7 linked regions of the Oryzias latipes genome follow. The protein of the gene in region 1 interacts with the protein of each later gene in a pairwise test. Links are inferred from orthologs where the notes say so. Each region holds a gene or a part of one and is shown on either strand. Other genes may lie near its edges.

Region 1 (4,083 bases):
CTATTTTTTAGCAATATTTCATTTGGGATTTACTTACAATGTTAGAGGCTGTATTATTGTGTTTTATTTTATTGTTTGACAAAAGTAAAAATAATACATTAAAAATTTTAAAAGAAAACGTAACAAAGTGCTTTTAATTTTACTTCCTCTTACTTCAAAACCTGGTCAAAAAAAGAGAGATAACACACTAATGTGAAAGTCAGCTACAGTCTCATTTTTGATGGGTTGTGTGGGTTTCCTGAGTGCTTCAGTTCCCACACCTGACAAGAGGGTATTGATGTTAAAGTATTTTAACTTTTTTTCAAAGTAAAATTTAAAAAAGGGGACGGGGGGTCGGGGTATTAAAAAAGAATTGGGGTAAAAAACAAGAAAAAACTTTTGCCCTATTACTTCAAAATCTTATGGGCCACAGATAGGAAGATATTAATGTTTATTAATCAAAAACAACTCTCCTCCGTGAACCGCCACCTTAACGTGGTGGGGCAGTTAGAGCCCGAGTGATCCCAGGAGCGAAGCTCCCAGGGGCTTAAGCCCCTGGTAGGGTCTCCCTTGGCAGACAAGTCCTGGGTGACGAGTCAGACAAAGAACGGTTTAGAATCCTCTTTTGAGAAGAAAAAACAAGGAATCAGTTACGTTGCTTGGATTGGTGTCACCAGGGCCCCACTCTGGAGACAGGCTCCGGTCGGGCCCTGCCCAAAGGAGTGACGTGGGACCACCCTCCCATGGGCCCACCACCTGTAGGAGAACACACGTGGAACACAATGTGGTTTGGGTGGCAGTCAAAGGCGGGTGCCTCGGCGGCCCAAACCCCGGTCATGGAACTTGGCTTTTGGGACATGGAACATCACCTCTCTGGGATGGAAGGAGCCTCAGCTTGTGCAAGAGGTTGAGAGGTACCGGCTAGATATAGTCGGGCTCACCTCCACACATACCCTGGGCTCTGAAATTCAGTCGTTCGAGAGGGGTTGTTTTGTTGTTGGACTACTGTGCTCGTCATAGTTTGTCCATTACGAACACCATGTTTGAGCACAAGGGTGTCCATCAATACACGTGGCATCAGGATACCCTAGGCAGGAGGTCAATGAGGTCAATCGGTAGGTAACTAAATACTTTTCGCCCCACTGTACAAATAAGTGTATAATGTGAGTCATCCCTGGTTCGATTCCCAACTTGGACCTTTCTGTGTGGGGTTTGCGGGTTCTCAAGATGGACTTGTCCTGTATTTTTTCATAGGGCCTTATTAGCATGGTCGCTGTTGTTGACACTCCAATCCAGAAGGTGGCAGTTAGACGTCAGAAAGTCCCCCTGCCTACTGGCTAAAGCTCTTCAAGAAGAAGAAGGAAGAAGAAGTAACTCTTAGGTCAATCTAGATTCTTACCTGGATAATCTCCATCTGAAGTCCAGACACAGCAGGTAGGCGCTTCCTCGTGTTTTCACCCCAGATTCACCATCAGGGCGGATTCATGCAGTTGTGGATAAACTGGGATCCTAAAGTCAGTCTTCTGTCTCCGCGATCTTCAGGATGAGAACACGTCACGCCACAGACACCAAGCTTCAGTGACTTCATGCGCAACCCCGGTCCGCTCCTAGAGCAAACTATACTAAACGAAGACCCGGTTTTGATTCCGGACCATGTCACACTAACGCGGTTCATCGCTTTGGTTTACGGTCAGAACGGTGCGGCCCGTTTAGATCTAAAGCTCGGATGTGTTAGCAGGCTAAAAATTAGCCAAGCTAAATAAAAGCTCGATCGAGTTTACATCAAACTTATTTGAACACAAACAAGGTTCACTCATTGATCTGAGTAAATCTGTTGGCTGTCTGGACCATTAACACCGAACTGCTTTACAAATCAGAACCGAGTTAAAAGATACCAGAACTGAGCTGCTAGAATGTTCTCCTGCTGTGGCTAAAGGAAAGCTAACATTCAGAGTGTGACTCCGCAATGTTTTGTTTTCATATGATTCCATACTCGGTCCAGTCTGTAACCCCAAACGTTAAACATAAATGTAAATACCTGAAAATTACGGCGAAAGCTGCTGGTTTAAACCAAAGAATATGCTAAGTAAGTTAGCTCCAGTAAAGACCCAAAAGTTATTAAACGTACCAAGCAATCGAAAAGTGATACTTTATTGAATAACAACAAAAGCTTTGGGGGTTTTGTTGCTTTTTTGCAGGGGGGGGGGGGGGGGGTAAATAAGTGCTTAACAAAAAATAAGCTAAATTGAAGAAATACAAGGTTTAAAGCCAAAAAGCTGAACGCTGGAAGTTTACGATTGGCTCTACTTAAGCAAGGTGTTAAAAATAAAAACTATTTCAAATCTAGGAACATTTTGAATATAAACGTAATTTGTAGTTTCCTAATATTTAAAGAGTAAATAACATTTCCAACGTGTGACAAGTTTGTTAATTTCGCAGCTTATTTTTAATTACTATAAACTAGGGGTGTAACAATTAATCAATGATTTATGTTCCTAAGATTCAACCAGGTGGATCTTTCTGAGGCAAGCTGTTAATCGAATCAAACTGACCTAAACCAATATTAAATCCTTTCAAAATCAGATCAATCGAATTGAAAATGGAAAATGCCATTGAGATTGAGACATGGTAGGTTTATTTGACTGTATAATGAAAATGAACAAGGGCATCAGTGGACAACACACATGTGATGTCAGCCAAAACGGATCTGTCCATCATTCCAGTCCAATGTGTGAAAACTTTTGAATTTATAAAGTCATGTGACCATCCAGTGTTCTAGAATGTTCTAAGAATGTTCCCTTTGGATCATTTGGATGTGGAAAAACAACAGTGGGCTGAACTTTAGGAAACTCAAATGTGAATGGATTTAACATTCATTCTAGTTTACTGGTTTGTTTGGACACAGATTTCATTTACACTTAATGATCTTGAAGAAATCCAAGAATCTGGAAAACTTCACTGTTCAGTAGCAGGAATTTCTGTCTGAGTCTCACTGCTGGAAGTTTGGATAAAGATGTTCTGAATCCATTTTAGATCAGTGAATCAGATCGTTCAAAATCAACCAATATCAACCACAAATACATGATATGATTCAAATCATTGTTAAAATAAATCGTTACTCCCCCATTTTGAACGTTGGACGTGAGACCACATACCTTTACGGAAGCATCTGATTGGTTTCAACTTTCATTACAGAAAAAAATGTAATGGGGGGGAAAAGTAGGATTATCAAGAACATGGTTATTCTGACAAATAGAATGACTAACAGCTGTTTAATTCTCTGTAATAGTCTTCTTTGGAACCAGTGGGTACTTCCTGTTTGGGATGCCAGGGGGGAGGGGGTCTCTCAGTCCAGTTTTCCTTTACAGTCAACTAACTGTCAGCAAAAAGAGAGGATTTGTGCCCAGTTTAGCTCAAACATACTTTCTGTCACCTCTTTAAAAAAATGATATCAGTGCATATTCTGAGCTGGAAGTTTGCCCAGCAGAAGTCACATCTCTCATGCGTGAAACCAAGTCTTTCGGCACAACAGGTGTAGTAAATCAGGCGGGTGGTGTCAGGTGACTGACTGGCTGTTGCTGATCTCCTCTGTTGCAGGAGTGCGTCTCCCTCATCGAGCGCTGGGACGTCTGAGCCTCCACCACCATGACAGACAACAAGCGTCTCGCCTACTCCATCATCCAGTTCCTCCACGATCAGCTGCAGTCCGGCGGTTTGTCCTCGGACGCTCAGGAGAGTTTGGAAGGTGATTCCTGCAGCTCTGCCACACCAGCCAGGATCTCAGGGTTTTACGCTGCAGTTTGAATGGTGACGGACCGGAGCGAGCAGCTCTGAGCCGTCATTGGATGGGTCCAAAGGGACGCAGTGCCGTAACTGTCCTAAAACACCAGACGATCTTATGAGAAAGGAGAAGCCAGCATTAGACCGTCTCATTGTGAAAAAACACACAAACACTGAAAAACAAAACTAAAAAATCACTTTATTTAGAAATAAACTGCACAGATTGAAACAGATTATTGACGGGGCTGTTTCACCCAAACGAGATGTTTTTAGGAACAGAAGAAGACAAAATAAAATGCAATGAAACAAGACGACTCAAATCAA
Region 2 (4,277 bases), on another chromosome or scaffold:
AAGAGAGCGAGATGAAAGAAGTAGACAAGGTGATGTACCATGACTGGCGACTGATTCCTAAACACATGGAGCAGCAGTTTAAGGACTTTGAGCCCCTCCCTGAACCACCTGTGCGCCACGTCCCCTACCCTCCTCTACTCCGGGCCATGATGCTGGCCCATCGTAAAACAGGAGGCAGCACAGTCCTAGATGAGCCGGCACTGCCTCTGCAGAGAGACGTGGTGCTCAACAAAGACTATTTTCGCAGACAGGAAAAAGAAAGGCGGAGCAAAGAGGGGACAGCTGTGTAAAGGCTACTGATGTTTCAATCTCAGGGGGCCACAACTCTTTCTGAGCTGCTTTAAGATTAGGCTCCATCCTGGACAAGAGTGTAATGCCATAGTGAGTGTATGTGTGTTTGAATTTGACTGATTTGCTAAATAAAAAAATGGGAATAAATTGTTTTGTAATAAGGTATCTTTTATAAACAAAAATGGAAAGATACACAAAAAAATAAAAGTAAAAATTTTAAGGACCGTAATAACAAAGTTGTTGTGAGTCCGTATTTGGGCTTTTAAAGAAAACTTGCCAAAATAGACAACGTCTTAATATTCAGATTAAAGGTAGATGGTTTAATAATTTGATATGTTTGCTTGAGTGTTAATTAAGTAATGTGTTGTGATGTGTCTTCTTTTTCCTGAAAGAACAATGGTTTGCAACTCTTTAATGGTAAAACAGCTATTTGGTCCAGTTTCTGTCATGTCTGTACTTATCTTACAGACATAAAATATAATTCGGGACACTCTGTAGGTTCAATCTGTTTGGTTTTATTCCTCAGTTGCTCTTCAACATACATTCCAGTGAATCATCAACTCTTCTTTGTGCTCTCCCCACATCATTACCTTCATGTTCTACCAACTAGTGCCCTCTTCTGGTCATTTCTAATATTACAGTTTCCTACTAACCAATCTTTGTTTAGAAAAAAACACTTTGTTTTTGTGACCATTATGCCACTTAAACACTATACTTACTTATATTGTGTACCTTTTAAATATTTACAATAATGAAATTATTGTAATTTTCCATAATTTTACTTCCCTTCAAAATAAAATACACCCTTTGACAAAAGGGATCCTACTGCAGCAGCAAATTTACCTAAATTAAAAATGCAAGAAAGTCAAAACAAACATGGCATTTTCTATCATAACTTTTGTGCACCATGATCCTTTTTTCCTATTACTATCTAATATAAACAACATTATTGAAGAATCATTTTAAATAAATTATCTTATTCTAATAATACATTAATATTTGTTATTAATGAATTTTCTGTGATCAAACATGTTTAAATTCTAAATATATATGATAAAATGTAATTAACTTATATAAATTAACTACAGACTCTTCTTTTTGTGCACATTTGTGGTTCCATACATCTTTGCGGCGCCACGTGCTCTCACCTTGGCGGCGTTACTCCGTTACTTAGCAACGTTCCTCCTCGCACCTGCGTGCTTTCATTCAGACGGATAAGTTGTGCTCTGTCTTCCAGTGACGATGATTTGCCTGTTTCTGACCATCATATCCTACATTTTTCAGTCAGGTTGGTAATATTTGACTTTCCGTGTGGTCCACATTCAGTCGCTTTGAGTCAAACGGATGGAATGACGTCTATTTTTAGAGGATGCTGGGAGACGGCTCTTCGGCAAACTCCACGCAGTCGGATAAATCTGTAAAATGGTGTTTATGGGACTTCTATATACTAAACATGACAATAATAAGAGTGTTGAATTTGAACTGTTATTAAAAACGACTAACTTTTTCCATAACAGTAACAGAGTTGGCGCGTGCAGGTTAGCTTCTGTGACAGTAACCCCCGCTCCTCCTCCTCCTCCTGCAAAAGTTGATTCATTATCCTATTAGCTCGTGTATTACCGTGCTGCCATTGTGTGCAGCCTGGTAGTGTGGAAAAGCTGCTGCAAGTGGAGCACCGCAATGAGGCCGAAAAAGAGGTCACAGCTCGACCTGCAGGAGGTGGAGAGGTTGGCGCAGAAACACGCAAAGATCGATGAATTCGGTGAGGCGCGCCAGAGAGAGAGAGAGACAGAGAGCCGCTTCCAGATCCGAAGGCTGCCGCCAGCACTTTTTATCTATTTTTTTGCTGCCGTGCTTATCTTTCGTGTCTACAACCTGAGGCTTAATCTGAGTTGCTGATAGTTTAAAGTTGTGTTCCAGGTTGGACCGGAGTGAATGAGCGCACCTTCATCGCCGTGAAACCGGACGGCGTGCAGCGGAAGCTGGTGGGGGAGATCGTGCGTCGCTTTGAGAAGAAAGGATTTAAGCTGGTGGGCCTCAAACTTGTGCGGGTGAGTCTGATGATACATTCAGATACACGATGACGATGACCTTTTTTTTTTAAATCCAAGTAAAAGACCTGTCATATGATATGGAGCCCTGATCATGATCTTAAAACAACTTTCCCTCTTAGTAATTTGTGGCCACTGTTAAATTTTTTATGGCCACAAAATTAGGAGTAGAAAGTATACTAAAGTATTAATTTGTACACACAAAAATGTTAATTTGTGCCAACAAAATGCTCATTTGAGCCCTCAATAAAGTTAATTTTTGCACACATAATGTTAATTTGTCTCCCCATATACTACTTTGTCTCCATAAAATGCTAATTTGTGCTAACAAAATATTAATGTGTGCCCTAAACATGCTATTTGGGTACACATAATGCTAATTTGTACCATCAAAATCTTAATTTATCCCCACAAAATACTAATATGTGCACACAATGCTAATTTGTGCCCAACAATTACTATTTTCTATTCTTTCATACATTCATTTATTTTCTAATCCGTTTTGTCCCTTTCGGGGTCACGGGCTGCCGGAGCCTATCCCGACCACTTTTGGGTGAAGGCAGGGGACATCCTGGACAGATCGGCAGTCTGTCGCAGGGCCATTTTCTATCCACAAAATGCTAATATGTGCCATCAAATGATTAATTTGAGCACAAATAATTCTAATTTTTGCCCCAAAATGATTCATTTGTACCCAAAAAATGCTAATTTGTGCAGACAATTACTAATTTCTGTCCACAAAATGCTAATTTGTGCACACATAATACTAATTTAAGCCCATAAAATACAAAGTTATATGCACGAAATACCAAATTGTGTACACAAAATTGTTTAAATTATTGAATTATTGTTTTTTAATGTCATGTCCAGCGCTCTATAATTTTATAAACTAATCAGATGTTATTATGGTTTGCATTCAGGCATCAGAGGACATTCTTAGGGAACACTACTGGGATCTGAGGACTAAGCCCTTCTACAACAGACTAATAAGCTACATGAGCTCAGGACCAGTTGTTGCAATGGTGAGATGTCCAGTCCGTTACTTACAGCCAAATGATCCTAAAGGACATCTGTAATATATAAGGAAAAAAATCCTCCTGCAACACAAATACACTCTTTTCAGTCAAAATTGATGGTGTGTTTTGAATGTTTATTAGTATTTTAGCGTGCAATCACTGTATTAAAAACCAAAGTATCATATAGTCGTGTACATTTCTGTGTTTGTTTAGGTCTGGCAGGGCTTGGAGGTGGTCAAGACTGCACGCAAGATGTTGGGAGAGACCAACCCTGCTGAGTCACTGCCAGGAACCATACGAGGAGATTTCTGTGTGGAAGTGGGCAAGTAAGAGCTATTCCACTCAATCTGGGATTAAACCTTTAGAAAAGAAAGGCACTTGTTTGTTAATTTGACCAGAAATGGGCTTGTTTTCCAACTAAAATAGCACTATCCCCAAAGAAATATAAATGATTGCAACCATTTTGACAATATCACCTTTTTGTATGAATGTTTTGAAATGTTGTTTACATTATTTTACTTTTTTTTTTTTTGACAAAGTGAAGTTTTACCTCCTGAATGTCTCTGCTGGGTCTGTGTCACAGGAACGTAATCCACGGCAGTGACTCGGTGGAGAGCGCACAGAGGGAAATCTCTCTGTGGTTCGGTCCGAAGGAACTTCACCGCTGGAAGAGCAGCAGCAGCCAGTGGATCTACTGACACACGCTGTGTAGAAACCATTCCCTGGCTTTAAATAAGAGCAATATCGTTGAAGTGGTGATCACACCTCAGATAAATTTGACTTTAGTGCTTTTTGTAGCTAAACAGTAGTAGAAAGCCTAATTCTGCCTTTCTGCACTACACTATTTAATAGAGTTAGGTTCAAAGTAAAATCAATCAAAAAAATTTAGCCTTTTCTAAGTTTAAATTACTACATTTGC
Region 3 (3,783 bases), on another chromosome or scaffold:
AGTGGAGAGTCGGTTTTGTAACTATTCCGTCCTAAAGTAACATTTTCAAGGTTATGTTGCGCAGAACGCTTACCGGACGTTTGCTCCCATCGCCATCTTGCCGCGAATCCCATGGCAGTACTTTAGAACAGTGTTTTTCAACCAGTGTGCCGCGGCACACTAGTGTGCCGTGGGAGATGGTCAGGTGTGCCGTGAGAAATTGCCCTCATTAACTGATCTAAAAACAATTACCATCTCCAGGAAATCAGCTCTTTGTTCATCCAAACAGGTCCTGATAAAACACTGAGAAGTTAAGAATATGAAATATCATAAAATTATTTTTTCTTTGTGTTTATATGATTCTATTAAAGACATTTTGATAAGAATAACGGGATACCGCGATTTAGCTGCAGCTATAACTGTGTAAGGAAAAGTCCCGCCCCTTTAACTGTCTCCACCAATCATTCTTGAAGGCTTAATCACATGTCATCAGTCTGACCAATCAGAAGTGGTTTGAGTATTCACTTCCTTGTTTCGATTTAGCGCAAAAAAGTCTCTCTGTTCTAACAAAAATACCAGCTAAAGCTCGTCTTTAGCGGTGTAGCTTTCCACAGAATCTGGTATCAGACTTGAACAAGTGAACAAAACCATGAAGCTCAAAGACGCTGGTCTTTCTGCGGTCGGCGGATTACGGGTACTACATCTCCCATGATGCAGTAAAGTGACTGTCTTAGCGCACAATGAGTCTCTCCTCTCAACGTCTTAAAACAACGAACACACATCAAACAGTTTTTGAATCTTTTGACTGAATTTTTAATACATCTTTTAGAAAAAACAGCTGCAGCTTCCAGCGTTTTCTGCAACAATTATCACAAAAATGCATGTGAGATTGCAGAGCGGCGGTAGATCAATAAAGACTGAGCCTTTTCTTTATTTTTTATTTATCTATTTTTTTGGATGCTGGTGTGCCGCGGGATTTTTGTCAAGGTTAAAGTGTGCCGTGGCTGAAAAAAGGTTGAAAAACACTGCTTTAGAAGAAGCATTTTGAAAGACCTTTCAACAAAAAAACAAAAAATAAAAACCTTGAAAGACCTTTAAAAATGCTCTTAAAACACGATTTGAACCATCGCTGCATGTAAACCCAAACCTGTGAATTTACACACTGAAAAACTTCAACCTTCATTTTATGTCACAGATTATTTTATATCCTTGAGTCTGTGATTATAAAATGAAACCCTATTTAAAATAAAGTCCTATATAATTCTCTGGACTGTTAATTACTGTCAGGATGATTGAGGGACAATTAGAAAAATAAACATTTTACGACTTTTCCTAAAGAAAACATAAAAAGAGTTCATGTTTCCATGGAGACGAAACGCCACGAGGCTACAGAAATCATCCTTTGGGTCATTATGACCCATGAACTAGAAAAACATTTGAACACAAGAAATGAGTTAAAAGGCCACACAAACACACACACACTCTAATCCAGATACACACACTCACACAAACAAACACACAGAGTCTAAGCAGCATTTTGTTGTTTTGCGGGATGATTAAAGGGTTTTTATAATTCACTTCATGAAGAATATGAAAACGGAAGGAAATTCCAGATTGAGAACTTTTTTTTCCAGTTTTCAGTTTAATTAAATCAGAAATAAGCTTAAAAGGGATTTTGTGTTGAGTAACAGAAAATATGATAAAAAAAAGTAACATGTTGTTTCAACAATAGATTTTACATTTTAAAATTCAATGAAGTTGCTTCATTTTGGGGGCTGTGGTGGAGTGGTTCTGTTTTGACCCGTAGGACAAGGGAAGCCGATGGAATCTCAAAATCACAACGGGTCATTCTGACACCAAACATCTTATTGTGAAAAACCTCAGAGGTGTGTCTGCTAACGTGTCACGTCACACTGTGCACGTTTGGCACGCCAGAAGGACCACGGCTGTCCAATTCCCTGCATTCCTCTTTGATTCCGGATGTCATTCCCGCCGCCGTCGCCTTCTGAGGTCACGTCTCTGCTGTGCGGCGCTGCTCTGGATTGCTGGCAGACCAGTTTTAACTTCCTGGACGACTGTCTTCCGTTTGTTTCCTAACACACTTTTGGTTTTTTGAAGTGGATAGATGTGTCCTTTAAGGGTCAGTGTTAGGGTTAACCCTACTGCTTTCTTTTCCAAACGGCGTGTCTGCTGTCACATGTAGATGTAGCTTCCACACGCGTGTACTGGTGGTAGTTTTCGCCAAAGTTACAGGGTCAAACCAGGATCAACGTAGAATGAAGGAAATGGGAGAACGTCATCACTGCTATTGACTGTAAATGAGAACTGGACTGAGAGACTCCTCCCTCTTGGCGTTCCAAACAGGAAGTGGCTCCAAGAAGCCAAAATGCCACAGACGTCTATAGAGAAATAAACCGCTGTCAGTCAGAAGAACCATTCTGGATCTGAGACTTTTTTTTCTTGATAATCCTAATTTTTGTTTCATGATCATTTTTCTGCTGTTCAAATTATAAACTGACCTGATTGGAAAGAGTGGTTGCCATAGAAACGTCGACTTGGACCAATCACTGGTTACATCCGGTTCAGAGATGGCGGCGTCCCCATCGTAAAAAAACATGAAAAGCATCACATAAAGCATAAGTGAATCAAAACACGAAACACAATAAAAACCTGAAGGTAAAAAGTTGGTTTTTCAAAATAAAAGCGGAAAATACAATATTGCCTTTAGGAAACTTTTTCTATTAAATGTGGAGTTTTGAGATGAACTGAAAAGGATCAAACCAAAGCAGTTGGGACTTTTGTACATCCGTGTCTGCTTGTATCGCCGTTTCCAAACCGTCTGTTGATGTCTTTACGCAGGAGGCCGCCGCCATTGAGAGTGTGGGGCCCGTGGACGACGGCACGGAGAGCCTGGGCGACGCCCCCAGTCTCTCTGAGGAAGTAGCAGGTATTTATCCACACACAGGCTGATTGTGGAGCCCGCACTGACCGTCCAGATCCCACTCTGATCCCCCATCTTCCTGTAGGAGCGGCGGCTGAGTTCAAGCCGGCTGACATCGCCGTGGAAACGGTGCTTTCTGAAGAAGGCCATCAGGTAGGTGGTTCGGTCAGACGTCTGCTCTGGCCCTGCAGGGCTGTGAGAACAAGAACAGAGATCTCTCATCCCCAACCGGGACATTCATTCCTGTAGCGTTCAAGGACAGACGGAACTCCAGAGGAACGTCTACGGCCCGGACGCTTTCTGAGCTGCTGAGGGAAAGACGTTAGCCACACCCACTTCAAATGTTCAGCCAATCACACGATAGACTAGACATGACGGATAGGAAAAGCTCTAAGTGGAACCCAGTTCTGCAAACACATCATCATAAAATGTATTTTAACAATTCAGGGTTGTTTTCTCCAAAGAATCCAGAATTGTTTGTCAGCAGACGAGGAAGAAAAGGCTGTTCACTCAGAGTGGGCGGAGTCAAAACACCTGAACTTCACCTGAATCAGTAACTCCGGTACATTAACTCAGGTAATCTGTCTGCCGTCACCAGGTGTGTCAAGAGACCTCCCCCGAGTCCAGCGAGGGTCCCATCCCGTCTAGTCCCGCCCGCATGAGCCCTCGCCCTAGCACCCCCCTTGACCCCCCCGACCTGGACTTGGAGAGTCAGCCTCCGGTCATTCACGACATCGTAACCACCTCCCCCAGTGACAACGAGCACCTGGGGGGCGTGTCTTTTGTCACCAACATTGATTTGAGCGCTCCCCTCGATGTTCCAGAGGTTGAAGTTTCCTCAGTGGAAACTGAGCTGCTGTCCT
Region 4 (3,783 bases), on another chromosome or scaffold:
CCCATGGTGTTCACACTTGACTGTCTCTACCTGATACCAGCGCATGTACACAAGTTAGAAGAGGTGTGGTGCGAAATGTTTACGAAATGCAAATCCTGCGAATCTGGCACCAGGCTTTTTCTTTTTTCTTTTACAGTTCTATTCCAACATTTGACTCACTTACTGTCATAATATTCCAACCTGGCACAAACCGCGATTATTCATTTCTCCTCCATGTTTAATTTTCAAACGGTTGGCCTTTCCGTGCCATCTACACATAACTACCAAATTCGAGTTCGACCTGGTTTACCTTTCAAAATGCGTTGAATATTACTTTGCCTTTGAATAAGCCTTTTAATTTTGCTTTATTTAGTCTCACATTCACATTCATTCATTTCCTGCAAGTCCTTCATGAGCTGGTATCTATAAAAATGTCACAGCCACTCCTAAACTGTGTATAATGTATAAAGTTGGATTGTACCATTTGGTTGTCCGTTTTAGTTTCTTAGTTCTTGTCATGTTCTGTTTTCAGGTTATGCCTGTCAGTCACACCAGATGTAGATTGCCAATCGTCTACAGCTGTCTTGATTTGTGGTAATGATCCTCCGTGTGTTTAAGTATCTGTTTTTTCAGATTTTCCTTTTCGGGTCATATGCTTTTCCTGTTTTTTCTTGTTCCCTGAAGTCCTGTTTTGTCATGTTCAAGTTAATTATGAAAATTTGTTGAGGAAATGGGATAAGAGTCATAAAGGCAAGAGTGGAGGGTATTGTCAAGACTTCAATTTGGTCACACTCAGTTGAGTTACAATCTTTTTAATATTGGAAAACAAATTGGTGCAAAATTTGATTTTTGCACTTATGAGAGAACAAAATCTCAGCAAGCTGCTCAACGATCTGAACAAGGAAGGGAGAAAAGATGGCATGAACAAAAAGAAAACCAAAATCATGTGCAATGAAATAGCAAGGAAGAGGAGAAGGAAAGGAATAATTGCAGATGGAGAACAACTGGAGGAGGTGGATGAGTGTAAGTATTTGGGAAGACTGCTAACACCAGGAAATGAGATGGCGAAAGAAATAGACGAGAGAGTAACAACCGCTTGGAAGAGATTCGGACGGTACAGTACGTTTCTGAGAGATCAAAAAATGCCCATGTGTCTCAAGAGGAAGATCATGAACAATGTCATACTGACATCAATGACATATGGAGCTGATACATGGTCACTTACCAACTGCCAAAGAGAGAAACTGGCAATCACCCATAGGAGCATGGAACGATCAATGCTGGGTGTTACGAGGAGAGATAAGGTCAGGAACGAAGACTTAAGATCAAGGACAGGGGTGAAGGATGTCATCGAGAAAGTGATTGAAGCCAAAGGCAAGTGGGCAGGACATGTAGCCCGAATGAAGAACCACGAATGGGCTAAGAAAACAACAGAATGGACTCCGTGGGACAGGAAGAGAGGAAGGGGAAGACCAAAGAAAAGATGGAGAGATGACATCGAGCAGATGGCAGGCAGCACGTGGACCCAGAGTGCCCAAAACCGTGATGAGTGGAGTAAGATGTGGAGGCCTTCCGCCAGCAGTGGCGTGACAGGCTGATGATGATGATGATGATTATGATGATGATGATGATGATGATGATGAGAGAACAAAACATTATTTAAAGACAGGAAGACCTCTCATCATAGATAAATACTTAAGAAACAACTTTTGTTGTTTACTATTATTTCTGCTATGCTTAAAGAAGCTTATATTGATGATTTCTTAATATTTGTCATTAACGACATCAGTATAAACTCGTATATTGTAGTGGAAAAAGAAGCACTCAACATGCAAAGCTTTAAGCTACACAACAAAGGACTAACAACCTTTTCAGGGTTCAGCAACCATGTGACCCTGAACAGAATTAAGATGGTAATTAAGACTGCATGTATGAAATTTATGAAAAGTTAACTGAAAAAATGAATTATTTATTGAATTCCAGACTGAATTTTACTTGTTTTTTTTTGTTTTTGTTTCATTTACTGTGCATTCATTGTTTCGTGGCGGATATGAATCACTTTCTAACCAAAGTTGCAGAGCTAGTATCATCTGTTTTTATTTACATCCGTCTAATGTGCTCGCTTTTATCATTTGGCAAAGCTGCACTGGAAATCTTTTGTTGTTTTGGAGGAACATATGGTCCTAGAGAAGACACCTGCAGCAGTTGCCGCAACAAAGACTGCTTTGAGTGTTTCAGGAAAGTGTAAATACGCCCGTCTGTTTGTGGAAACATTTTACCGTGATGAAAGTCTTCCAGTGGAGGAAGCAGTTTGCAAACACTCGCAGGTGTGGGATTGAAATTGCTCCACATTCCAACATTGTTGCCGCTGTTGTAATTTCCCCAGATAGTGGAGATGTTCCTCTGTCTGGATCTTTTAAACACAAGAAGGGCTCATTCGTCTCCTTTTTTTGTTTTTATCTCCGTGACCCCTCCACACTCCAAAGTCTAAAAGCATTTCACTTGTTGCTTCAATTTCAGAACTTTTGGTACAAGAATGGTGCAAAAATGTGTTTAGTTAGCAGATGCATTACCTCCTCAAAGAGATCATTTATGGCAGTTTTATTGCAAGCAGGAGGCTCCTGCTTAACAAGCTGTGATGTAGGAACAAAAGCCTGTCATTGCGGGAACTTGCACATACAGTATGTGAGTTTGACATATTGCAGCCCAAAAAGCTAAAGAAATCGTGTTGAACGTGTATAGGGTTTATAATTTAGCCGTTAATTTCCTGTATGGTAAGAAATGTACTAAAAAACATAGACTATCAAAAAAAAGATGCATATTTGGTGCTCTCGAGGTGAAAATTGTTTCACTGACGATGCAGGAGGGGGATTTCTGTGTTTTCCATCACAATGTATCATATTCTCTGCAGATATTTTCTTTGTACCTCTTACTAGTCTGCTAATGTATTCCCGTTGTAAAATTGGTGCCATTGTTTCCGCAGATGGCATTCAACAATAGGTCATGAGGAGGTGTGACGAGATAACTGGTGCATATAAGCACGAGGACTCTTTGGAACCGAGACTTTTTGGAAAATAGCTGATTAAAATACTTTTGAAAGGTTAGCATTTTTAGATTTTTCTTATGTGGTTCTTGTTGGCACACAAAGGTCAGTGTGGTGGCCTTTCTCACCCCCGAACTTTTTCTTCCAGTTGCACGGGATCTTGCAGCGTTGGGTCTTGATGGTCTGCTTGCAGTCGGTGCCGGTACGCGTTCCCTCTCTAGTGCCAAGTCCACAGTCACCCTCATTGGCCACGCAAACGCTCCACTGCCAGTCCCCACATTCTGACTTGCGCTCCTTCTTTCCTAAAAGGTCAACAATGACAGTTAAAGAATAGCACCAGATGTCGTCACCAGACAACATGGTAAGAGTCATTTTTGTGTTTCCACTTCACAGTTTACGATAGCCTTTTTGTTGTTGCAGTCAAAAGGTATTTTTAGGTGTATTTAACCCTTTTTGTCTAATTTGATAATCCATTTTCCATTTAAACAGGTTGTTAGATGTCCTTCAAATATTGATTTGATAGTTAATAGAAGTAAAAGCTTGGTCTCAAATGCCTTTGCGGTAGAGCAAAATAATGTTAAACATTTTACCCTACTGGCATGTAAGTGACCGGTTGAAGCAAACACATAAATTGCACGGGTAAAGTAAGGGGGTAATATTTGAGATGCAGGTCTGTTGGGTGGACTTTTTCTTTCTATTAACACCCCCCAAATACAAAAGCGGATTGTGCACTGAGCCCATTATTTGTTGTTCATGTGAAC
Region 5 (4,525 bases), on another chromosome or scaffold:
CACACACACACATGCATTTCACAAGGAAGGTGGAACCTCTGACAATCTGTCCCCTACCCTATCCCCAGAGGGGCCTACCAGGCCCTCGGTGACGGCGACCGTGTCCCTTGGGTGCTGGCTTCCTGGGCCCGGCAGCCCTCTCTCCACGCAGGGGGAGGGATCCCTGAGTTCTCTGGCAAGACCAAGAGCCAGGGATCACATCACATCTGAGCCTGTGGGTGTCCGTGTCCCTGTGGTGTGGGTTCTGGTCCTGGCTCCTGGGGCGCGGGCCTTTTTCATATTTTCCAACTGCTGGTGAGCCTGGTCAGGCCATATTAAAACAGCCCTTGGGGACCCTCCTTCCTCTTGGGCGTCCTCCTCCTGGGGGGGGTCTCTGCCTTGCTCTCTCCTGGACTAACCGTGGCCTGGGGGCAGGGGGCTGCCTGGAGCGTGGGGGCGGGTCTCCAGCTATCATTTGTTTGCCCAGCTGTCAGACAGGACAAGTGAAAAAAAAAAAAAAAACAATAATGGATTTCACATAAATCACAGAGAGACTAAATGTGCGTTTATTAACATCACATGTACATCAGTTGATCCATCTCCTCACAGAACCCCATTTTTCCTGGGCGTCCAACAAAAAACACAACAAATAAAATCAATGTAATAATAAATAAAGTTTAGCCTAATTTAAAAAAGGTGTTTATACAAATATATACCTTAGTTAGAAAGAAAAAAAAAATCACGTTAATTACATTAACATGATTCCTTTTTTTCTTTTGAAACTCAGTTTAAAACATTCATGCCCTGCAAAATTTGGGCAAATATCTCCAAAGTTTTCTCATATTTTGAAATTCTGTTTTTGTGGGTTTCACGAACAGTAATTTAAATGAATAAATACTTCAAATCAATTAAATATTTTGACCTGAGTCTATATTCTATGAAAGTTTATTTCTTTCAATGGAATAGTGGAAAAGAGAACACTTTTCCATTACATCCAACTATTTTGGAAAGGGTATGTATTATAAGTCGTTTTTATTTATCACCACAGTCAGAAGTATATGCATGTGGCTTTTGTAATATATTATCTATTATTAACTTAATAATAAAAAAAAACGATTTAAGTTTTTAGTGTTTTAGTTTTTTAGTGTTTTATTTTTTAAACTTTCTAAATACTTTTTAGACTATTTCCCTGTACAATTTTACTCAGACACCAGAGGTCAGTGTTTCATAAATGTTAAATGTGGTCTTTCTTCCAGCTTCTTCTTTGTTGCAGTATTAGGTTGGAATTGGATGGTCTTCATAGGGTCAAAATTAAAAATGTTAATGAGAGCATTGCCTAAGAATCTTTCTGGTTAACATATTTAACCCACAGAAACACCTTCTGGGGCTAAATGGGTTAAGGGATCTAAATAGGTTGGATGTTTAATAAAATACAGTTTTTTCAAGCAATCTGTACGTATAATCTCTAACAGATAAGTGCTCACATTAACATAGACAGAAAACAAATATGTTCATTCCCTGACCGTCAATCAGTGAAATTGGCAGGTCTGTTGTGCTGCTTCACCAGGGCTTCTCAGCCAGCCTTCGTCACCGCTGCGTCAGCGCTGATGAGCTCAGCGTTTGTCAGGAGGGGATCGAGGAGGGGGAGGGGACAGAAGGGTGGATGGGAGAGAGACTGCAAAAACAAGCGGACAAAAAAGCTGGAGAGGGAGAGAAAGAGAGGATAGGGGTGTTGCCGCCTCTGAGACACTCATCACTGAGTAACAGCAGCAGAGTGGGAACACAGCTTCCTTCTCTTTGGATATCACAAGGCTTTAATTTTCTTGTTATTAAATTTTTATTTAAGAAAAAATATTCTGCTGTAATATTCAACACCCTTTAAGAAAGAAACAGCTGGAGATTCAGCTGAAGAGGAGAGCTCATTGTAGACCCTTTCAGGACCTTGGACAGCGATAATGGCTCCAATGATGGAGAGCGGAGCTGAGCCCGGTGAGTCCATCCAACACACTCACGCTTCATCCTTTGCATGATGTGATTTAATGCGAAGGGACACCACCTGGTGTGGATGGATGAGTAGGCTGGTGTTGGGTTCCTCATTACTCAGAGATGCTAGAAATGTGTTGTTGGAAAGAGTTTTTTTTTAATTCACCAAATTAAGAGGTTTTGCATTTAAGTTTTTATTTCATTTGTTCATTCACAGTCAATTATGCACAATATTTTCAGTTAAAAGTGTTTGATTTCCCTTACTCTAGTCAAAACCTCCTGCTATCTCCAGTTTGCAATGATCTTAGAGGTGTCAATTAATCAGCAGGACACTAATCCGTTGGGTGGAGGTTGGGCTACATTGCATAGAACATCAATAGTTGACAAAGTGGAGTTATAATTGTCTTCTGGGTTCAACAAAAGCAGACAGGCATCAATATAATTAAAAAAAAAGCCTGGAAATACCCACCGTTTCATGTCCTCACTCTTTAGCAGTTCCTTCACAGCCCCCCCGTAGCGTCAGCCATCTGTCGTTCCAGCCTTGAACACCATTCCACCCAGGGCACCAGCATGAAATATATATAAGCAGAAAGGAGGAAAACATTATGTAGAAGTGCTGTGATTTAAAAGTGATAGGAGTTCAACATTCCTCACATCGCCCTCTTACATAATAATGAGAAGCAATAAAAAAAGATTATCGCTGCATTTAAAGGGAAAACTGAGGCATAACATGCAAATGACATCTTCAATGGTACATTAGAAAATGGCACAGTATATAGCCTTAGTGTTGACATGGACGTCACAGATTGTGTGAGTTGAATGGGAAAAATAACACATTAGCTTTGATCACGTGAACGACATGAGTGATCGCTCACTGCCACTGCTTTTTGACATTTTGATGGGTTTGTAGACGTGGCTGATCGGTCCTCTTGATGGTCTGTTTCCTCTCTTAATTGAAACCCATTAGATCTGGCAGCAGGATTGTTGTTGAGTCAAAGTTCAGCACGATGAAAGAAAAAAAAAGGCATTCAACAGTGTTCATATAATGTTTCTATAAGCATACCACAATACGTTTAATAGTAGACAGTTAATCTCATAATGTCATTATGGAAATTTTCCACAATTAACGCCCAAAAATCTACATCTCCTCAACAAAATATCATATTCTTTTCATGATTAGATGGTATTCAGGTATTTAGACTACTAAATCAAGTGGTAACTGTCTACATTATCATACCTGTAAAATCCTTGATAAATTGGCTGCTTATGGCTTTATGCGGTTTTCCCAACAGCTCTTTACTAATACCAGCTGTTTCCTGTTTGGAAATGAATCCGGTAATTGGGCTGAACAGATCGCATTGTGTTTTACTCCTTCTGACTCAAGGCTGCAGCTTGCGTCAGCCTCAGATACAAAATGGATGAAGTTGCTTCAGTACAAGTGCAGAAGGAAATGTTTCAGTTGACGGGTGTAAACAGATGCCTACATGCCACAACGATTGTCAAGAGTTATCTACTTTTTCTAACAAACTGCTGTCCTTGTCCTTGTCTGCTCCCCTCCACAGTGGCAGTACCGGTGGGCGTTGCCGTAGTGAGTGTTTTTGGCCTCGTCTTCACTGTGTCAGCCTTCACTTGGATCTGCTGCCAGCGCAAAAACACCAAATCCCAAAAGACGCCCCCATACAAGTTTGTGCACATGCTCAAAGGGGTAGACATCTACCCGGAAAGCCTGAGTGGCAAGAAGAAGTTTGCCGCAGCTGCCACCACAACAGTCAATGACGCCGGTAAAACAGATGTCAACGGAAACTGCCACACCACGCCAATGAGTCCATCAAGCACCAGTAAACTTGCAACAAGCCCAAACGGTTCCAGGCCGGCTCTGCATTTGGACCTTGAGAAGCGGGATCTCAATGGCAATTTTACCACCAAACCTTTTCACCACCACCATCAGAAGGTGAGGTGCTCTCCAGATCTGGAGCTGCCCTCTCCACACGCAGGGTTTACCCAACCTGGTGCGATGGACCGCCATGACCTCCCTTCACCATTCAGCAACCTCTCCAGCCAGGCACCAACTCCAGGTGTGGAGAGAGCTCATGTGGAGGAGAAGGAGAATGGCCTGGGTACTCTCCACTTTTCCCTTGAATACCAACAAGAAAAGAAGGCATTCATTGTTCACATCAAGGTAATGTAAAGGGTCTAAACCTTTGGTATAATTGTTTTAGCTTGTATGCATTCTATTTAATCTCTGGTGGTTTATGCTACTTTCTTATACAGGAGGCCAATGGTCTATCTCCAACGGATGAACAGTCCCTCACCTCTGACCCCTATATCAAGCTAACTCTGCTCCCAGAAAAAAAGCACCGAGTGAAAACCAGAGTCCTTCGAAAGACCCTTGACCCCTCTTTCGACGAAACCTTCAGTTTCTACGGGATCTCTTTGTCCCGAGTGACGGAATTGTCCCTTCACTTCATGGTGCTGAGCTTTGACCGCTTCTCCCGTGACGAAGTCATCGGAGAGACCCTCGTTCCTTTGTCTGGGATCGACTTGTCAGAGGGACGCGTGCTAA
Region 6 (4,370 bases), on another chromosome or scaffold:
GATGCCGGACAGATGCACTTTTGAAGGATGATTGCAGAGCTGAAGCGAAATGAAGCATAAGCCCTGGGGATCAATTTGCCTCGCAGTAAGTCAACAGGAGGCAATCATACGCAGAACTTTTCCTTCTTTCGGAGAGGAAATGTCCTTCTCATAAATATTTGGAGTTTTCTAATTGGAAGAATATGTGTGGCTTTAAACACTACCTTTTAAGGATTCTACACATCTTCCCACTGGCGCAGTGAAATGAGGATGTGCTTTCATGCACAGATTTGAAGAATATGTTTGCATTCACAGTGAAAGTCTGAGGAACATGGATGTTGTTTTAAGATGTACAGTAAAAGCCTGCATGGATCTAAGCCTACTGTTGTGTTGTAAGAACTAAAACTTGAATGATAAAGGCATAAAACAAATAGTAAATGAACAAAATTGAAGAGTAACAAAAGATGGATGAATCAAAAAAAATTTCATAAAAAATTGCTTTAATTATACATTCAAGTATAAATGCAAGAAGTTTGGCTTGTGGATTGCATAAAAGATGAAGTCTTAAAGATCTTCTTGGATGCGTTAATCGTAACGTTGGGACAGTGGCAGTGGAGCGATGGAAAAATAAAGCTTTGAAGATCTAAATCCTGTTTTTAATGAATTTATTGTATTTTTGCCAAACGTCTTACTATACTGCTGAATATTTCCATAAAAATGGTTTAAAGGTCAGATACCTGGTTTGGTGTTTTCTGAGTTTAGGTTAATTTCCCCCGTAGACACAAATCCTCTAGATAATTATCTGCGATGTCACACGCAGAATTCTGGAAAAATGTAGCCTGAAATGGGGCAGCCACATTGACCTGTGTTTACTCAACCCACCTCAGTGACACACCAAAAATGGGTGACTGAGTGGGCCAAAGTGATGGTATATGTTTTTTGTGAGTCCCCCTATCTGTCAGTTCAGCAAAGACATTAAAAACTACCTCTGACTTCGCATCATTTTTAGCTTTAAAACATCTTCTTAAACTCAAGAGTACCTAGCTGCAGACAAGATGGCGGCTGGAGCTCCACTCCTTGATGGAAACAGAAGTTGGTGATCTCCAAACAAAAGATGAGCTTCGTTTTATTTTATCTTGTTTTCATTTTAAATTTTTTTGGCTCTCTATTTTAGGTGACGTTGGAAAAGCAAACTGCGATGCAAATTAAAACTCAATAAGCTCATGTAATTGTGACTAGGTGCATGGAGTGGAGCTCCAACCGCCATCTTGTCTGCAGCTGGGTGCATCTCCTCAAACCAGTGTACCTGGTGTACCTGCAGGATTTCCAAATATTCAAGCCCTACTCATGACTGATTACCTGGTTCAGGTGTGTCCAGCCAGTTAGAACATGCCAGAGCAGAGTATGTTGGAAATCATGCAGAAATGCGACCCTCGAGGCCCGGGGTTGCTCATCCCTGGCATAGAGGTATGATTTCATTTGGATTTGGCACATGTCACAGTCTGACGTCAGGTAAAGGGATTAATATGTGCTGCAGAAATGTATCAGATATATCTTCAAAAATCCTATTATTTCCATAAAGTTAATGAATTCCAAGGCCATTCTGTTTTTCAAAGGGTTGACGTGTTAACTTGTAACTTCCTTACTTGTCCAGTAACAATCTTGAGGTTACTCAGTGTTGTTTTTGCTCAGAGCATTTATTCATGAACTAACATGGCCGGACAAAGACCTGCGATGGAGACCGGCGTTCTTTCTCTTTCCCAGAGGCAGGCAGACAGGCTGGAGCAGGAAAAAACCGGAGCTGCGCTCCTGTTTTCTGGAGTCTTCCTGTCCATGGTGGGGGTCACCTTCACTGTGATAGGTTGGCATCACTTCCGAACCAGCACCAGCTTTCAGTGGACCCAACTCCTGGGTCCCATCCTGATTTCAGTTGGAGGAACCTTCACGGTCACCAGCATTTGCAAATTTAGGTTAATCTCCTGTTGGTACTGCAAAGAGCAAGAGGAGGAGGTCTTTGTTGTTCCTATAAGGGAACCACCGTCAGGGAGACCTACCGTTGTGGTCCACGGCATCAATCAGCCGGTTATGGTGCAGGGCACCGCAACAATGGTGTGTATTCCACCAGTGTACAACTTCCTAACCCAGGAAGTCATTGAGGAGAATGAGGAGCAGCCTGGTAGCTCTGTGGGAGGCGTCCATGCGAGCCTCCCTTCATATGAGGATGTGTACTGTTTGGACAACGCAGCTTTTACCGCAGAAGGCGACGCAGAAGTGGGGTACAGAGGGAGTCGGTAAGAACTCGTCCAAAAACAAAACAAACAAAAAAAAAATGTGGTCAGCTGCTGCATGTATAATTGCTTCTCAGAGGTGCAGTTGCTGTTTTTTTTCTGTTTTCTTAGTCGATTAATTTAGAAAATAAGTTACTTTTGCTAGTAAAGGGACAACACGGATCCTTAAACCTGCCTTTCCTATGCTTTATCCTCACTGGAGTAATGGGATTTATTTGTATTTATAGATTGAATTTTAAACATATTTTAGCTTTGCTGAAAAGATTTTTCAGCAGATCAAGAATAATTGTGGGATTTTTGGCTTCCTGGAGCCAGTGGATACTGCCAGTTTGGAACGCATGGGGGGAGGGATCCCTTTGTCCAGTTCTTATATACACTTAATAGTCACATACCACTGTTCTTGTGACAATCCACTGTTCACAGTTTGCCATTAGAAATGACACACAAGTCTAAGTTCACTCTACCTCTTCTGCCATCTTTTCAGAGTCCCGTATTTTCCAAATAAAATGCCAGTTGCCATCTCTGTCTCACTTTTGTAAAACCAGATCTGCTGAAAACGGAAATGAGCAGAAGTTGAATGGATTTGAACTATAAAAAATCTAGACTTGTCTGGACTTTGGTCCATGATGCACTTCAGACCAGTTTTTTAAAGTTACAAATTCAAAGCAATTTAAAGTTTTGCAGCAACTGTTAGTGAAATCAGTCAATTATCAAGCCAGGATTGATGTTTGTTTTAAAATAAAGGTACAGAAGTTAAAGCAAGGAACAAGTACTGCAAAGATGCCTTTGTTTCATCCAATCACAGCGAGTTTGCAGGACCTTTTTCTAAAGTCACCTGGAAAATATTTCATTTTCTTAATTTACAGTTAAGATTTTCACCTGAAATATTGAATTTGACCAATCCTAATTACATGAAGAACAGCAGCCCTATACACTCACCTGCCACTTTGTTAGGCACACCTGTCCAACTGTTAAAACAAATTTCTAACCAGCCAATCACATAGCAGCAACTCAATGCATTTCGGCATATAGACATGGTCAAGATGATTTGCTGCAGTTCAAACTGAGCATCATAATGTGAAGAAAAGGTGATTGAAGTGACTTTGAACATGGCATGCTTGTTGTTGGTCTACTGAGATTTTTACCCACAACCATAAGGTTTACAGAGAATGGTCAGAAAAAGAGAAAAAAAATCCAGTGTGTGGCAGTTCTGTGGGCCGAAATGCCGCGTTGATGTCAGAGGTCAGAGAAGAAAATCCAGACTGGTTCCAGCTGATAGAAAGGCAACAGGAACTCAAAGAACCACTGGTTACAACGGAGGTCTGCAGAAGTGCACATGTCCAACCGCGAGGCAGATTGGCTACAAGAGCAGAAGAAAACACTGGGTGCCACTCCTGTTAGCTAAGAGCAGGAAACGAAGGCTACAATTCACACAGGATCACCAATACTGGACAATAGAAGATGGGAAAAACGTTGTTGGGTCTGATGGGTCTTCATTTCTGCTGCAACATTCAGATGGTAGGGTCAGAACAACATGGAAGGAATAGATCTATCCTGCCTTGTATCAACGCTTCAGGTTTATGGTGGGGGTATAAATGTGGGGGGATGTTTTCTTGGCACACTTTGTGCCCCTTAGTACCAATTGAGCATGGTTACAGCGCCACAACTTACATGAGTATCGTTGCTGACCATGTCCATCCTTTTGTGACCACATAGTACCATCTTCTGACGGCTACTTCCAGCAGAATGAGGATCCATGTCATAAAGCTGGAATCTGAGACTGGTTTCATGAATTTGACAATGAGTTCACTGGACTCAAATGGCCTCTACAGTCACCAGATCTCAACCCAATAGATCACCTTTGGGGTGTGGTGGAATGGCAGATTGACATCACGGATGTGCAGCCGGCAAATCTGCAGCAACTGCGTGATGCTGTCATGTCAATGTGTACCAAACTCTCTGAGGAATGTTTCCAGAACCTTGGTGAATCTATACCACCAAGGCTTTTGAAGGCAAAAGGGGTTCAACCCATTACCAATAGATTGGCCGGTGACTGTAGAAAGGCCTTAGCTGAAAATGTTGCAAGAATCCTCCAATCGATTG
Region 7 (4,444 bases), on another chromosome or scaffold:
ACGCAATTTGTGTCTGATGCAAGTTTTTGTTTAACCCCTTTTTGGTTACGGATGCAAAAATGCATCAAACCACTTTGGCTCAAAAACTACTTTAATTTAGCTTGCACTTCAACAAAAATGGCTTTTCTACCTTCTCTGAAAGCCCAAAGCGCTTTACAGTCCCAAACCCATTCAAACACATTTACACGCTGGTGGCAGCTCTGCTGCCAATCACTGGTGCCAACCTTCCACCAGAGGCAAGGTGGGGTTCAGTGTCTTTCCCAAGGAAACATTGACACATGAGCGGTCAAGGTGGGAATCAAACCTGCAATTTATGATCAGAGGTCGACCGCCCTGCCGCTGCACCACGGCGTAAAGTGAATTTTTTTAATAGCTGGAAATTGCCACAAGAACATTTCAAAAATCAACATTCATCTTCTGCCGTTTTATCCCTTTCTGGGTCACGGGGCTGCTGGAGCCTATCCCGGCCACTTGTGGGCGAAGGCAGGGGACACCCTGGACAGTTCGCCAGTCTGTCGCAGGGTAGAATGTCCTCAATCACACACCCATTCACACCTATGTACAATTTAGAGTTTCCAATTAACCTATGAAGGATATTTTTGGACGGTGGGAGGAAGCCGGAGACCCCAGAGAAAATCCACACAGAACATGTAAACGCCACACAGAAAGGCCCCCCATTGATGTTCTGTTTCAGGTCCCCCCAGCCAGGGCTTGAACCGGGGGCCTTCTTGCTGTGAGGCAGGAGCGCTAACCACTGCGCCACCGTGCAGCCATTGGCGTTGGTTACAAACAACAAAAAACAAAACAAAAAACACAATTTTCATTGAAGTGGGTCTTTAAACTCACCACTCTTTCTCTATCGCTAATGGTTTTAAAAAAGAGGTTTGTATTAGAAAAGTTCGAGTGTTTCCACCAACCTGTCGGGACTCAGCTTTTCCGTAGCGCAGCTCATTGACGAAATGCTCACAGTTCCCCGTGAAGACACAGTATGGTCGCTCCTGGCCCACCAGCAAGCAGGCATCTGCCACAATAACTGGAGCCGGCCGGGGCTCGTACTCTTCATCCAGACTGTTGCTGATCTTCCACTGATCTGTTCCCACAACCTCCCAGAGCTCCTCTTTCTTCACCATAGCCTTCTCCGTTAGGACAGACATGATGCTGTTGGAACGAGCACCTGGAGTCTCAACTAATACACAATCACAAAAGAAGAAGAAAAATGCTATTCTCTCATAGCCTTTCATGCACAACTTGATATTCAAAACTATTTAAATTCAGTTTGTTTCATCGAACACTCTTTGTTCCAGATTGATATTTGGGACATAAGCTCCGTGAATCCTGTTTGGACACTCACAGGGCGGCGCCATGTGAACAACGAAGCCATCGCCAACGTACACAGCCCAGTGTTGATAAGAGCCACGGTCGATCTCAATCAAGTCTCCCGGCTCGGGTTTCACATCGTACTGGGATTAAGAGCAGGACAGAAAAATGTGTTTCATAATGACAACATAACACTTTCAACACTCTGAAAAACTTTCACCCGATTCAACTCCCTGGCAGTCTGTGAGAACTTATTTCCTCACTGTATGCTTACAATTTGAGTGTTTTAATGATGCTTTGTACGAGTTAAATTTATGCTTTAATTTTGTAAAAAGGTTCACGACAAGTTTGATTAAATGTAGAACTGAAAAAACTGCAACAAACTTCCTCTAAAACAGCAAAACACAGACCCTCCTGACAGCTTGTTATTTTCCGTAGAGAGAAAGAAAAAGGCCTAAAATGTAAATTCTAATTTGGTTTCCTTGGATTATTATTTTTTTAAATTAGATGATTACACAGCCTATTTAGACTTTACAAATGGGAATCTTTACTTCATAGAATTATGCATTTCCTCTTTAATTACTGTCTTTATATGAGGAAAAATTAAAACAAATAACTTTTTTAAGGAAAATCATAAAATCAATGTATTGAATTAAAAATACAGTTTCAAACCAGGCAAACAATTTCTCTGAAGAAGAAAGTAGAATCAACTTGCTTACCAGTGTTGGAGCCATGGCCCACTCTGATGTTTGGACTGGTTTCCTGTTCTGATCAAAGAATCACGAAACATTGTTTTTAAGCACATCTTTGCCATTTTCTTTCATTTATTTGATGCTGTCGTTTACCTTTTTAGCCTTTGAAAGCGTTTCAATCAAGCACTGTTATGCAGCCGAGGAAAAGCTGAAAATTTCTAAGAAAAACAAACAAACAGGAAACGCATATATTTTTCATATATTCGGGGGGTATAACTTCATTGGAACAGCCACATCACCAATGACGACGCGGAGGAACTAGCTAGCAGGCTGTGATGCTCTGTGTCGACAGACTCGACGCCGTTTCACAAAATGCTTTGAGGCTCAGAAATTCACCCTCTTTCCCAGCTTCCGAGGCTCTGCAGCGGTCCTTACCCGAAAATCACCGTCCAGAAGACCTTTCTTTAGTTTAGAAGAGCCGCCGCTCCCGACTGACATGGAGAGCAAAGCTCAGCTGTGAGCGATCAGCTGATTGCAACAACAACAACCACCACGGTCTGTACCAAGTCCGCACGGGGACGGAACGGATCAAATACTTTACGGTTAAAGCGACCGAAATGGGTCAGTCCACAAGTGCATTTTATTTATGGATTATAAAAAGATGGAACAGTCTACTTTAATGAAAATAAATACATTAGAATGCCAAAAGTCCAGTAATAACACTTGATACTTAGCTGGCTTACCTATTTATAGCAAAAATGGAAATCGAAAGTCAGACTCCTCTAATACCGCGGTCAAGTGAGCCGACATCTGTGGAAGTGCGGTCACGCCAGCATGCGCGTTTACATCATAGTTTACGGTACACACGTCCAGCGAGCTGGAAAGACGGCATAAAGCGCTGATATCACCCATGTCACAGTAACCATTTATAGAAATGACATGTACTGTACTCTGAAATTAATGCATGCCCTGTATCGTTATTCAATGTACAAATGCATTCATTTGGATTGCATGTCTGTTCATTCCATAATAAACTACCAGAAATAATGTGTTATGTCTTAAATATAATCAATCAGACAGATTCTAAAAGTGAGATTCAACACTGACAAGAGTGTTTTGTGGGTGGTTGAGCATGACATGGAATGGAATCAAACAGAAATGAAGAAACTCCAAGTAAAATCACATCTGGTCCTGTCAACTCTTTCTAAAGTTGCTTCAATTGAGGTGACGCAAAATTTTCATTGTATTATTGTTGATAATGACGTTCACTAACATGACAGCAAGGCTGATGAAAAATGACTGGAGAATATTAGAGATATTGACATTGTAGTCTAATTCATCCTCCCTCATACATAGTCATAGTATAACATTTGAACCATCCAAAATACCACTTTATCAAAAGGTGACGCAAAACTTTCACTGGATTATGGTTGTTAATGATGTTCTTGATCATCACAGCAGGTTTGAAGAAAAATGACTGCAAAAACATACTCTAACCGTGTATTTACCTTATATTGAGGTTTATAAACATGTTATACTCCGACTGTGAATGAGGAGACCAGAATTGGTCTATAATGTCAATATCTGTATTTTTCTACAGTCATTCCTCTTCAACATTGCTGTGATGATCATGAACAACATTACTAACATTAATCAAGTGAAAGTTTTGCGTCACCTTTTGATAAATGTGCATTTTGAATAGGTAATCCGTAATAATTTAACTAAAGGCAGGCCGCTTATAGGTGTACTATAATGTCAATATCTGCAATTTTCTTCAGTCAAATTTCTTCAAACTTGCTAAGATGATCGCGAACATCAGTACTAACCATAATCCAGTGAAAATTTTGCATCACCTTTTGATAAAGGAGTATTTTGGATGGTTCAAATGTTTTACTTTAACCACAAAGGCTGGATGCTTAGGAGAACTATAACTTTAATTTCTCTAATATTCTCCAGTCATTTTTCTTCAAACTTGCTGGGATGATCATGAACATCATTATTAACCATAATCCAGTGAAAGTTTTGTGTCACCTTTTGATAAAGGAGTATTTTGGATGGTTCAAATGTTATACTATGACTATGAGGGAGGATGAATTACAGTATAATGTCAATATCTCTAATATTCTCAGTCATTTTTCTTCAAACATGCTGTGATGTTAGTGAACATTATTACCAACAATAATCCAGTGAAAGTTTAGCGTCACCTTAAATGAAGCAACTTTAGAAAGAGTTGACAGGACCAGATGGGATTTTACTTGGAGTTTCTTCATGTCTGTTTGATTCCATTCCATGTCATGCTCAACCACCCACAAAACACTCTTGTCAGTATTAAATCTCACTTTTAGAATCTATCTGATTGATTATATTTCAGACAAAACACGTTATTTCTGGTAGTTTATTATGGAATGAACAGACATGCAATCCAAATGAATGCA

The links.
Region 2: the proteins of sgta (region 1) and nme3 interact in binary tests that used the Homo sapiens proteins (3 or more experiments, as listed by UniProt). The two-hybrid records come from large-scale screens. The link is inferred for Oryzias latipes from reciprocal best matches to the Homo sapiens genes SGTA and NME3.
Region 3: the proteins of sgta (region 1) and pre-B-cell leukemia transcription factor-interacting protein 1 interact in binary tests that used the Homo sapiens proteins (3 or more experiments, as listed by UniProt). The two-hybrid records come from large-scale screens. The link is inferred for Oryzias latipes from reciprocal best matches to the Homo sapiens genes SGTA and PBXIP1.
Region 4: the proteins of sgta (region 1) and ptn interact in a two-hybrid assay, tested with the Homo sapiens proteins (2 studies listed by BioGRID and IntAct). The link is inferred for Oryzias latipes from reciprocal best matches to the Homo sapiens genes SGTA and PTN.
Region 5: the proteins of sgta (region 1) and syt4 interact in binary tests that used the Homo sapiens proteins (3 or more experiments, as listed by UniProt). The two-hybrid records come from large-scale screens. The link is inferred for Oryzias latipes from reciprocal best matches to the Homo sapiens genes SGTA and SYT4.
Region 6: the proteins of sgta (region 1) and tmem174 interact in binary tests that used the Homo sapiens proteins (3 or more experiments, as listed by UniProt). The two-hybrid records come from large-scale screens. The link is inferred for Oryzias latipes from reciprocal best matches to the Homo sapiens genes SGTA and TMEM174.
Region 7: the proteins of sgta (region 1) and HRAS-like suppressor 3 interact in binary tests that used the Homo sapiens proteins (3 or more experiments, as listed by UniProt). The two-hybrid records come from large-scale screens. The link is inferred for Oryzias latipes from reciprocal best matches to the Homo sapiens genes SGTA and PLAAT4.

The regions. Positions count from the first base shown.
Region 1 is NC_019862.2:5,200,670-5,204,752, forward strand, and holds the start of sgta (small glutamine-rich tetratricopeptide repeat-containing protein alpha), read left to right. Parts: upstream 1-1,283; 5' UTR 1,284-1,413; intron 1,414-1,654; exon of another isoform or gene 1,655-1,677; intron 1,678-3,576; 5' UTR 3,577-3,624; coding exon 3,625-3,724; intron 3,725-4,083. UniProt on the Homo sapiens protein: Co-chaperone that binds misfolded and hydrophobic patches-containing client proteins in the cytosol. Mediates their targeting to the endoplasmic reticulum but also regulates their sorting to the proteasome when targeting fails.
Region 2 is NC_019866.2:14,622,118-14,626,394, reverse strand, and holds the start of nme3 (nucleoside diphosphate kinase 3), read left to right. Parts: upstream 1-1,473; 5' UTR 1,474-1,533; coding exon of another isoform or gene 1,534-1,579; intron 1,580-1,931; 5' UTR 1,932-1,971; coding exon 1,972-2,053; intron 2,054-2,211; coding exon 2,212-2,342; intron 2,343-3,262; coding exon 3,263-3,364; intron 3,365-3,571; coding exon 3,572-3,684; intron 3,685-3,941; coding exon 3,942-4,056; 3' UTR 4,057-4,277. Other genes in the region: mrps34 (28S ribosomal protein S34, mitochondrial), read left to right, coding at 1-290. UniProt on the Homo sapiens protein: Catalyzes the phosphorylation of ribonucleosides and deoxyribonucleoside diphosphates, other than ATP, into the corresponding triphosphates with ATP as the major phosphate donor.
Region 3 is NC_019869.2:888,244-892,026, reverse strand, and holds part of pre-B-cell leukemia transcription factor-interacting protein 1, read left to right. Parts: intron 1-1,514; exon of another isoform or gene 1,515-2,378; intron 2,379-2,498; exon of another isoform or gene 2,499-2,838; coding exon 2,839-2,926; intron 2,927-3,005; coding exon 3,006-3,073; intron 3,074-3,518; coding exon 3,519-3,783. UniProt on the Homo sapiens protein: Regulator of pre-B-cell leukemia transcription factors (BPXs) function. Inhibits the binding of PBX1-HOX complex to DNA and blocks the transcriptional activity of E2A-PBX1.
Region 4 is NC_019881.2:18,741,536-18,745,318, forward strand, and holds part of ptn (pleiotrophin), read right to left. Parts: intron 3,325-3,783; coding exon 3,151-3,324; intron 1-3,150.
Region 5 is NC_019876.2:7,931,135-7,935,659, reverse strand, and holds the start of syt4 (synaptotagmin-4), read left to right. Parts: upstream 1-1,699; 5' UTR 1,700-1,934; coding exon 1,935-1,968; intron 1,969-2,431; exon of another isoform or gene 2,432-3,504; intron 3,505-3,524; coding exon 3,525-4,141; intron 4,142-4,233; coding exon 4,234-4,525. UniProt on the Homo sapiens protein: Synaptotagmin family member which does not bind Ca(2+). Involved in neuronal dense core vesicles (DCVs) mobility through its interaction with KIF1A.
Region 6 is NC_019870.2:5,378,673-5,383,042, forward strand, and holds the start of tmem174 (transmembrane protein 174), read left to right. Parts: upstream 1-1,400; 5' UTR 1,401-1,692; coding exon 1,693-2,270; intron 2,271-4,370. UniProt on the Homo sapiens protein: Regulator of plasma phosphate homeostasis. Decreases serum inorganic phosphate (Pi) uptake by regulating the sodium-phosphate cotransporter SLC34A1 trafficking by PTH and FGF23 in the kidney.
Region 7 is NC_019868.2:12,341,838-12,346,281, forward strand, and holds the start of HRAS-like suppressor 3, read right to left. Parts: upstream 2,867-4,444; 5' UTR 2,753-2,866; intron 2,579-2,752; exon of another isoform or gene 2,406-2,578; intron 2,328-2,405; exon of another isoform or gene 2,309-2,327; intron 2,228-2,308; 5' UTR 2,163-2,227; intron 2,085-2,162; 5' UTR 2,052-2,084; coding exon 2,037-2,051; intron 1,461-2,036; coding exon 1,352-1,460; intron 1,187-1,351; coding exon 918-1,186; intron 1-917. UniProt on the Homo sapiens protein: Exhibits both phospholipase A1/2 and acyltransferase activities. Shows phospholipase A1 (PLA1) and A2 (PLA2), catalyzing the calcium-independent release of fatty acids from the sn-1 or sn-2 position of glycerophospholipids.